Mus musculus: one gene and its partners. The protein of the gene in region 2 binds, or shares a complex with, the protein of the main gene of each other region. Links are inferred from orthologs where the notes say so. Each region holds a gene or a part of one and is shown on either strand. Other genes may lie near its edges.

Evidence for each region. Proteins that work in one complex are often made in the same cells at the same time.
Region 1: the proteins of Ptpn23 (region 2) and Zfyve9 are in contact, whole or in part, in a crystal structure (PDB 5MJY), measured with the Homo sapiens proteins. The link is inferred for Mus musculus from reciprocal best matches to the Homo sapiens genes PTPN23 and ZFYVE9. Residues at the interface, in NP_056281.1 of Homo sapiens: Phe62, His125, Glu137, Lys141, Val142, Cys144, Thr145, His146, Gln148, Cys149, Leu189, Lys192, Ser193, Asp196, Arg198, Lys199, Leu202, Arg205, Ile206, Ala336, Leu338, Leu342, Asp348, Ala350, Val351; in NP_004790.2 of Homo sapiens: Glu2, Tyr4, Phe5, Gln6, Glu8, Ala9, Leu12, Asp13, Val15, Leu16, Asp17, Phe19, Glu20.
Region 3: the proteins of Ptpn23 (region 2) and Zfyve16 are in contact, whole or in part, in a crystal structure (PDB 5MK0), measured with the Homo sapiens proteins. The link is inferred for Mus musculus from reciprocal best matches to the Homo sapiens genes PTPN23 and ZFYVE16. Residues at the interface, in NP_056281.1 of Homo sapiens: Phe62, His125, Glu137, Glu138, Lys141, Val142, Cys144, Thr145, His146, Gln148, Cys149, Leu189, Lys192, Ser193, Asp196, Arg198, Lys199, Phe201, Leu202, Arg205, Ile206, Ala336, Leu338, Leu342, Asp348, Ala350, Val351; in NP_001098721.2 of Homo sapiens: Asp2, Tyr4, Phe5, Ala8, Val9, Leu12, Asp13, Leu15, Leu16, Asp17, Phe19, Glu20, Gln21.

Annotation. Positions count from the first base shown.
Region 1 is NC_000070.6:108,718,328-108,721,986, forward strand, and holds part of Zfyve9 (zinc finger FYVE domain-containing protein 9), read right to left. Parts: intron 1,486-3,659; coding exon 1-1,485. UniProt on the Homo sapiens protein: Early endosomal protein that functions to recruit SMAD2/SMAD3 to intracellular membranes and to the TGF-beta receptor.
Region 2 is NC_000075.6:110,391,055-110,394,713, reverse strand, and holds part of Ptpn23 (tyrosine-protein phosphatase non-receptor type 23), read left to right. Parts: intron 1-885; coding exon 886-1,013; intron 1,014-1,266; coding exon 1,267-1,343; intron 1,344-1,961; coding exon 1,962-2,011; intron 2,012-2,097; coding exon 2,098-2,229; intron 2,230-2,610; exon of another isoform or gene 2,611-2,651; coding exon 2,652-2,732; intron 2,733-2,815; coding exon 2,816-2,947; intron 2,948-3,032; coding exon 3,033-3,080; intron 3,081-3,448; coding exon 3,449-3,505; intron 3,506-3,611; coding exon 3,612-3,659. UniProt on the Homo sapiens protein: Plays a role in sorting of endocytic ubiquitinated cargos into multivesicular bodies (MVBs) via its interaction with the ESCRT-I complex (endosomal sorting complex required for transport I), and possibly also other ESCRT complexes.
Region 3 is NC_000079.6:92,487,237-92,490,176, forward strand, and holds the end of Zfyve16 (zinc finger FYVE domain-containing protein 16), read right to left. Parts: intron 1,388-2,940; coding exon 1,226-1,387; 3' UTR 513-1,225; downstream 1-512.

The DNA of each region.
Region 1 (3,659 bases), on a different chromosome or scaffold from region 2:
AATTTTTCTTCATTACATTCCCAGTGCTGTTTAAAAGCAGTCCACTCCCTTCTGCATTCTCGTTTCCTCTCTGTTCATAAATATTTGAATAGCATTCTGACTTGCTCTCTTCTATTTCTTTTTCTTCTGTTACTGAATCTTCTTTGGAGGGTAATGTCTTTGGAACAAAAGATACAATTGGGCTCTGCATTCCATAGGAATCACAACTATTAGATAGAGAATTTGCTGCTGGTGCATCATTAACAGTGGAGAAATCATATCCTTCACTCTCATTCATGCAAGTTCCTTTGAAATCTAGATCAGAATCTGCCATTCCAACACACTCGCCTCCACTATTAGTGTCCTCAGGTTGATTACTCTGTAAAGCCATTTGATTTTCTTCATTCACTTGGCTATCACTCATCTCATTTAGCTTCGTTAATTTCCAATTAGTCATCTGAGAGTCATTACCTTCATCTTCATCAGCTCTAGTTTCACTAGACCCAAGGCAGTCTGAAGACTGTTCGCAATTGTCCCTTCCAGATAAAGCAGGAGTATCCGGCTTGAGATTCAAAGATAAATCAGATGGGAGGGAGTCTTCAGCTGTCCTCTCCTCAGCTGGCTCTGTTTTTATTAAGAGCTCTCCACTTGAGTGGGAAAAGGAGTTGGAGATCCCTAGGTCTGTCCTGGAAGAGCTGTTCATGCCAGAAAGATCCTCATCTGGCATATAATTTCCTTGCTGTTTAATGGCAGGCCCTCCATCCATTCCCTGGGATGAATTAACTGCTAAGCTTGTAACTGTAGATGTAGATGGGTCTCTACCCACATTCTCACCGTCCTTCAATTGTGAAGGGGAAGAGATACTGGTTGCACTGTTAGATGAAGCCGCACAGAGATGATTCACAGAATCCCTCTCTGGTTTTGGTTTATTCAAAGCATCCATTTGTTTCTCCGAGTTTATACCTTTTTCCGTGGACCCATTCATACTAAAACTAAATTGATCAGTTTGTCTAGTCTCATTATCCAGTGAACAACTAAAAGAATTCATGAGGGATTGACTATTGTAATTATTACAATCCTGCAAATCGCTTTGCAATGTCCTTTTATCGCAGTTATGCATGACAGCTACAACCAGAACATTCTTCTCGTCTGGCAGACAAGTGAGGCTTCCACATTTCTCCTCTCCCACTTCAACGGCACTAAATTGATCATCCTGATTATAGTTTCTCTTAATTAGTTGGTCTTCTGTCACAGCATTTTCATCAATCCACATGGTGTCAGTCTCTGGATTTAGACTACAGTCCTGTCCGTTAGCACAGGGATCTTTGTCCTCCTTTGTAAGGGGAGCTGAGCCAGCCAGAGAGAAGACTTTCAGCTGTGGTCCTGTCTCAGAAACTGTAGGTTCATTCACACTGGCTAATGCAGGGTTAAAAGACAATGGGTGAGAAGAGGGATCTAAAATCTTATTCCACTTTGTATCCAATAAAGTAGGAGAAACTGTTTCATCTGAAGGAAAAAAAAAAGTAATTATAGTAAGTTTGTTGGTAACAGTAAAAGCTACTTAGGGCTACCTGACAAATATTTCCAGCTGTGCTTTGAAGAAAATGTCCCCAGAATATGACAGTATCTAATCTTTAGCTAGACATAAGAAAAATACATTTAAGACAATGCCCTATAATTATCTGTCGACAAATGGTAATGCCTCAGAACATTTCAAATAACAAAGTTGGGCAGTGGTTGTGCATGTCTTTAATCTCAGCACTCAGGAGCCAAAGGCAGGGGGATCTCTGTGAGTTCCAGAACAGCCAGAGCTACACAAAGAAATCCTGTCTTAAAAAACAAACAACAAATGAATTTTATGTCAATTTAATTGTGTTATTAGATTGAGATAAATAATAACACAATTAAATTGACCTATATACCCAGGAATGGGAAAGGAACTTTGGATTGTCTGTGTATAAGACAAGGCACAGACAATGAACAGTAGTGGAGACTAGTAACTGAGTGAGAATTTTTCTATGGAGATTAAATGCTCTCTAGTCTACATGATTGGGGTGTGGGTTACATGGATACCTCCATTTGCTAAATCTATACAGTAAACCTTGTAGTCTTGGGAGCCTGAAGTGAAAGAACAACTGAGTCAATGATTTCAAGCCATCTTGGAAGCAAAGTGAGATTGTCTCAAAACAGACAAAAACAAAAACAAACAAACCACTAACTCTGTGTAATAAAATTTAGGTCTTTTCGTGAATATAAAGTTTATCTGAAAAAACTTTTTTTTTGGGTTTTTTTTTTGTTTTGTTTTGTTTTTTTTTAATTCGAGACAGGGTTTCTCTGTGTAGTCCTGGCTGTCCTGGAACTCGCTCTGTAGACCAGGCTGGCCTTGAACTCAGAAATCTGCCTGTCTCTGCCTCCCCAGTGCTGGGATTAAAGGCGTGTGCCACCACGCCCCGCGAAAAAACTTTAAAAAAAAAAAAATGGGCCTAGAGATTTGCTCAGTTATTACAGTGCCTAGCATTCACTAAGCCCTCAGTATGACATCCTGTGCTGCAGAAACTGAGTGTGCTGGCAAATACCTATATTCCTAGGGAGGTGAAGGCAGGAAGTAGGAAGCTGGAAGGTCAGAAGTTCAAGGTCATCTTTGGCTATATTCTGAGTTTGAAGCTAACCTGGGCAATATAGAAGACCCTATGAAGAAGGAGGAGGAAGAGTAAGGAGGAGAAAGAAGAGGAGGAAGAGGAAGAGAAGAAGGAAGAGAAGAAGGAAGAGAAGGAAGAAAAAGAGGAGGAAGGAGAGGAGGAAGACGAGGAAGAGAAGGAGGAAAAAAGGAAGAGAGGGAGGAAAAAGGAGGAAGAGGAAGAAGAAGAGGAGGAGGAAAAAGAAAAGGAAGAGGGGGAGGAGAAAGAGGAAGAGGAAGAAGAAGAAGAAGAGGAAGAAGCAGCAGCAGCAGCAGCCGTCATCTGGGGAAATGGCTCAGTGGACAAAGGTACCCCTTTGTGTAAGCATGAAGACCTAAATTTAGCTGTAGCACTTATATAAAAGACTAGAGAGGCACAAGCTGGAGCATGGTGGCATAAAACTGTAACCCCAGTGCTGTGGACAGTACATATAAGCAGATTCCAAAGGACTGCTGATAAGCCAATCTAGCTCGAAAGAGCAAATTCTGGCAGCAGTTTCCTTCTAGATGGTGCATTGTTCCTTTCTCTGAAGGGGTGTTTCTTACAGGGATTATTAAAATTGTGACTTGAGGAAAAAAAGTGTAGAGATCACCGAGGAAGTGATAAAATGTTGACCTTTGGCCTCTACATCCATACAGGCAAGAAGAACATCTATGTTCATAAGCTTCTATAAGTGCTCACTTGTGCTCTCTCTCTCTCTCTCTCTCTCTCTCTCTCTCTCTCTCTCTCTCTCTCTGTCTCTCTCTCTCTCTGTCACACACACACACACACACACAGAGGCACACACAGGTGTGTACACCAATACCTCCAAAGTGTTAAAAATGAAACAGAGGTGCAGACAAAAGGCAGTGTACTGATTATTGCTGATCATGAGTTATAGTGTACTGTTTTGTTTTGTTTTGTTTTGTTTTGTTTTGTTTTGTTTTGTTTTGTGTGAGACAGGGTCCCTCTATATAGCCCTGGTTGTCCTAGAACTCACTATGTAGACCTGGTTGCCCTCAA
Region 2 (3,659 bases):
TTTGGTCTGTATATTTATTTGCATATCATATGCTTTTACAGAAATTAGATCACACTATATTCATCTGTTACTTTTTTTTTTTTTGCCTAGTAGCATGTCATTGAAATGTTAGTATATCCCGAGCAACCTTTGTCTTTAGTTTAGCTGTGGACTGTTTTCTTGTGTGAGTAGCCTTGACATAATCCATGTAAACAGCCTCCTTTAATGGAAAGTCTTGTGGCATCCAGGGCTTTAATCTGACAGTGCTATGAAAGTGGTTTAGTATGCACATTCAAGGATTTTTTTCTTTGTCTTGGATATCTGGCCTCCCACACATCATTTTTTGATGCAGGGTCTCGTGTAACTCAGGCTGACTTCAAACTTGCTTTGTAGCCAAGAATGGCCTTAAACAACTGTTGCTCCTATCCCTGCCTCCTGGTTCTGGGATGCAGCTGTGCATCTTCCTGCCCCACCGACCTGGATGTCTCTAACTATATAGTTTCAGATGAAGAACTTCGGATCAAGCTGGAGCAATGTCTCAGCACTTGAGAGCACAGCTATTCTTCTAAAGGACTCAGTTTCAATTCCCAGCACTCACATGGCAGCTTACAGCCATATATAACTCCAGTTCCACGGAAGCCAAGTCCCTCTTTTGGTCTCCACAGACACCAGACATGCATGTGGTGCACATATATGTAGTCCAAACACCTATACACATGAAATAATTTTTTTAAAGTAAAAAGTTAAATACAGTAAAAAAATTCAAAGCACATTACAGAGTGTCTTCTAGAAATGTGGGACAGACTTTGGCTGCCAGGATGGTATATCCAATAACTGTGGGCATAGAGAGGGCTTTCTTTGCAATTCTAATGATGGTGAGCCTTTTTCTTCCATCCTACTTCCCAGAATGCTATTCGCGTTGCCCGGGACTTTGAGGGCTGCAGTGTTCTTCGAAAGTACCTTGGCCAGCTACACTACCTACAGAGTCGGGTGCCCATGGGCTCAGGCCAGGAGGCTGCTGTAGCTGTCACCTGGTGAGCACTGGTAGACTGGGCTGGGCAGATGAGAACTTAGAAGGTGTGAACTTGGACAGCTGGGATGCCTGGGTGATAGGCTTGATCCTTTCCCCCTCTCTTCTCTCCTTGCTGCACAAGATGGGGAATGGGTTAGTGTGATCTCCCATAGATGCCTGTCTCATACCGGGGTGGTTGGTCCCCTCCCCTGACCCTTGGGCCCAGGCCAGCTCTTACCATCTGTGTGACTCTGAGATGACTGGCATGTCTGCAGGACTGAGATCTTCTCGGGCAAGTCTGTGTCCCATGAAGACATCAAGTACGAGCAGGCCTGTATTCTCTACAACCTCGGTGAGCTGCTTGGTCCTTCCATGGCCTCCTCCAAGCCCTCCCAGCCCAGGGTCTTAGTTCATTAGGTCAGATGGCCAAAACAGCCATGAGTGGATGAAAGAAAGGTGCCTGGGTTGTAACCTCTCCCCCACCTCTACCACAGCACACAGGCACTTCTGCTGATTTCTGGGTCACTGGCATGTCGCTGTTTAAAGGGTTGCTCTGCTGGGCTGACTGTCACAAGCGTTGTCGCTGTGTACTTACTCCAGTAGGGAGTCATGGCCTCTTTTGTCTGAGAGTATCACCCCTACCCCCCAAATTAACGGCTTTCAGATTGCTTCAGGGAGGGAGGTCAAAGCTGGCCTTAGACTGCCCTTCAAGTCAGCTGTGCTGTTGGCTGAGGGAAAGAATGGGGGCTCTTCCCTGCTTTACCCCCAGTCAGGTGCATAACCGGAGAAAAGATTTGGCTAGGTTTGTGATTGTTCTTCCTCGGGAATCCTTGCACTGACCGCCCAGGTCTCAGACCTGTTTCTCTGACTGAATGACAGCAGTGCCCCTCGACTTCAGCCTCAGCACACGAGTGGGCGGCCTGGGAAGCATCCCCAGGCTCTTGTAACCGAGTGTCCCCTGCCTCTCTAGGTGCACTGCACTCCATGCTGGGGGCTATGGACAAGCGGGTGTCTGAGGAGGTGAGGCTTGGGGACAGCGTGGGCTCAGCCGCCAGAGTTTGCTTCCTGCCTTACGGAAGTGGCATCTTTCACCTCTTCCCTCCCAGGGCATGAAAGTCTCCTGCACCCACTTCCAGTGTGCAGCAGGCGCCTTTGCCTACCTGCGTGAACACTTCCCACAGGCCTTCAGTGTGGACATGAGTCGCCAGATCCTTACGCTCAATGTCAACCTCATGCTGGTGAGCAGGGGGGGCCCTGGTGGAGCCAGATTGCTCTTGTTTCTGTTTTGAAATAGAGTCTTATTCTGTAGCTCAGGCTGGTCTGAAACTTGCTGTGTAGTCCATGCTTTCTTCAAAATCATGGCCAGTCGTCTTGCCTCTGTCTTTTTGGGGTTAATCATGAGCCACCGCCCCTAACTTTAAGTTAAATTGGAGAAGAAATGACTAAGGGAGGAGGCAGTTCCAGCTAGATCATGGGCCAGCCATGTGCCTGTAGTAAGGGACAGGCAGGAAAGAGGCCCTAGTGTTGGGTCTTTTGAGTTTCAGGAAGATCTGGCAGTGTGTTAATTTTGGGGGAGACTAGAGGAGAGGAGATATTTTGGTCTGTCCCTTGGCTCCCAGGAAGGAAAGGACCTTCAGGTGACCTGCACTTGTTGCTCCAGGGCCAGGCTCAGGAGTGCCTGTTGGAGAAGTCCATGTTGGACAACCGGAAGAGCTTTCTAGTGGCCCGCATCAGCGCACAGGTAGGAAGAGGGCTGAGGCCCGCATCAGCGCACAGGTTGCTTTGCCCCTGGTCCTCGATAACTGGACTCATTCCAACTCCTAGGTGGTAGATTACTATAAGGAGGCATGCCGGGCCTTGGAAAACCCTGATACTGCCTCCCTGCTGGGCCGTATCCAGAAAGACTGGAAGAAACTTGTCCAAATGAAGATCTACTACTTTGCGGCTGTGGCTCATGTATGGTGAGGGGTTGCTGGGTGTGGAGTGAGCCCGATGGCTGTAGCCTAGGAGACAAGTGTGATGCCTATTCCTTTTTGCCCAGCTACACATGGGGAAGCAGGCTGAGGAGCAACAGAAATTTGGGGAACGGGTGAGTGGACTGTGGGTAAGGGGTGCACTGAGGATCTGTTCTGGGCTTTTATGATCGTCTTTACATCATATTGGAGCTGGTCCTCTCTGTCCCCATCCTTGTTTTCCTCCTTACACCATGTGCCAAGCCATCACCACCTTGCAGCCCTTGTTTGTAAGGGTCTCAGGAGGTATGGTGGGGTCCCCACAGGGAGGGTAGCCCTTTGGGAGCTACAGTGGAGCTGTTTGGGGGCTGTTGGCTTGGCTGGCATCTGCTACCTGAGGGGCTGGTCTTATGGTCAGTGATGCTATCATCAGGTAGGATGAATTAGGGACATGGAACATTAGGGCCCGAGCAGGAAAGGACAGACCAGGTTTTGCCCTCCACAGGTGGCCTACTTCCAGAGTGCCCTGGACAAGCTTAATGAAGCCATCAAGTTGGCCAAGGTAAAGCTGAACACATGTGGCTGCTCTTCAGAGCCATGGAGGCAGAGCTAGCTGACCTGACAGATCTCAGCACTGGCCTTGGTTATTTCTTATCTCTGCTCCACAGGGCCAGCCCGACACTGTGCAAGATGCACTTCGCTTTGCTATGGATGTC
Region 3 (2,940 bases), on a different chromosome or scaffold from region 2:
GAATCACGTGCCTGGATCTATAAGGTGCAATGCTTTATAAATAATCCTTCTTACACAGAGTTATTTAGTGTGACTTCCTGATAGATACAATGAGTGTTTTTAATACAAAAATATATTTCACATAATAAAAAGGCATCAAAACAATGATTACATTTTATATAAGTTAAATGACAGTTTTTTCTTTTCTGTTGTCTGAATTAAACTAGAAAGCTCTATCACAACCTTTAACTTTTTGTTAAGTTAAATATTCCATTATAAAAAATAACTAGCATAGAAAGAATTTAAAATATGCAAAAGTAGTAAGTTTGTTGAAATTTACACTTCATACATTGATATCAATCAAGAAATTACTAAGGACTAACATGAAAGTAAAAGAAACCTGCTTTAGGCTTCAGTTATTGCTACCTGATGACTATTTCATAGGCCATCTGGCCTGTCGTCATCTCAAGAGTGTTAAATACAGTGGTGTACTTTGTAAGGAAGGAGAAAAAGAATGCACTGTGATACAAAAATATTATCTATTTATATATTAGCAAAGATTTATAAAACACATTCCAAATCATATGTTGCTATGGAAACAACAGACTTAAATAGAGAAGCATAAAGTCCTAAAGCACCCGCAATTATTTTAATCAGAAAAAATGATATATTTATATGTGTGTATATATATATATAGATACATGAAATTTGAGAAGAAATAAAGGCAAAATTCTAAATTTAATCAAACAGTTTGTATGTAATCATGGAGGTAGGTCTTCATTCCATTTATACAAATAAGTTATCAGCTTTATTCAAAGAATTATAAGTCTAGAATCTTGAAACTGGTCTTCCTTACTGAGATACATTTTTAAACAGACTTCAAAACCAGTGTTCTCACTAGCATCCACACAACGCAGGTCTCTCCTTCATTCTCGTCATCTATGAGGAGTAGGGCTAAGCGCAGATGCTTTGGCTTAACAGTTAAGGTACACAGTAAATACTGTAAATTGTAAGTTAGAAATATTTCCTCTTAGTTCTTATAATAAGCATAAAGCTATAAAAATGATGATTCCTTAAATTTTTAGGAACTTAAATACTGTGCTAATGATTTTTAAAAATCATTCCTACCTAAAAAGCAAAATTATATATTTCAATTATCAAACATTTAGTGTTGGTGGCATTTCCGTTTTAGTGCTGGGATTCGTTTTAACCGATCAGTTTGCAAGATACAGCACAGTACACGGTTTCACTCAGAAAGGTTTTCTAGAATGAAAAATGCTAACTCTATTTCTAGTGGCAGACTAGAGTTGGAGGTCCCGCCGTGGATCACAGGGATCAGGGCACTATCCAGATCATTCAGGTAATGCTGAGGCAGAAGCTGGCCTTCACAGCCTGCCTGGAACTCAACCTGGAAAAAAAAGAAATCTTGATAAAGGTAACCCTAGAAAATTAGCCCTCTTGTGTTGCTTGGCAGCCGAATATGTAGCATTTTTTGAATATTCAGCTTAAAGCTATGAGTAAAATAAAGTTATTTTCAAAAATTTATTTTCCCATTTCTTTTATCTCTTTACTACATAAATTATAACATTATAAATATTGTCACTACTTTATATTTTAGATTTCCTTCCAACTAAACACATATGTAAATGATATCTGAAGCTTTAATATAATTAACAATGCAACTTAATTTGAATTAAAAATGAATTGAAAAATCAACATACCGTGTTTCAAATTGTTGCAGTACTATGTTCTGTGTGAGATGTATATGCAGTGTGTGTATATGTGCATGTGTGTATGCAGTTGTGTGTATATGTGCATGTGTGTATGCAGTGTGTGTATATGTGCATGTGTGTATGCAGTGTGTGTATATGTGCATGTGTGTATGCAGTGTGTGTATATGTGCATGTGTGTATGCAGTACTATATGTTCTGTGTGAGATGTATATGCAGTGTGTGTATATGTGCATGTGTGTATGCAGTGTGTGTATATGTGCATGTGTGTATGCAGTTGTGTGTATATGTGCATGTGTGTATGCAGTACTATATGTTCTGTGTGAGATGTATATGCAGTGTGTGTATATGTGCATGTGTGTATGCAGTGTGTGTATATGTGCATGTGTGTATGCAGTGTGTGTATATGTGCATGTGTGTATGCAGTGTGTGTATATGTGCATGTGTGTATGCAGTACTATATGTTCTGTGTGAGATGTATATGCAGTGTGTGTATATGTGCATGTGTGTATGCAGTGTGTGTATATGTGCATGTGTGTATGCAGTTGTGTGTATATGTGCATGTGTGTATGCAGTACTATATGTTCTGTGTGAGATGTATATGCAGTGTGTGTATATGTGCATGTGTGTATGCAGTGTGTGTATATGTGCATGTGTGTATGCAGTTGTGTGTATATGTGCATGTGTGTATGCAGTACTATATGTTCTGTGTGAGATGTATATGCAGTGTGTGTATATGTGCATGTGTGTATGCAGTGTGTGTATATGTGCATGTGTGTATGCAGTGTGTGTATATGTGCATGTGTGTATGCAGTGTGTGTATATGTGCATGTGTGTATGCAGTGTGTGTATATGTGCATGTGTGTATGCAGTACTATATGTTCTGTGTGAGATGTATATGCAGTGTGTGTATATGTGCATGTGTGTATGCAGTGTGTGTATATGTGCATGTGTGTATGCAGTACTATGTTCTGTGTGAGATGTATATGTGCATGTGTGTATGCAGTGTGTATATGTGCATGTGTGTATGCAGTGTGTGTATATGTGCATGTGTGTATGCAGTGTGTGTATATGTGCATGTGTGTATGCAGTTGTGTGTATATGTGCATGTGTGTATGCAGTGTGTGTATATGTGCATGTGTGTATGCAGTTGTGTGTATATGTGCATGTGTGTATGCAGTTGTGTATATGTGCATGTGTGTATGCAGTGTGTGTATATGTGCATGTGTGT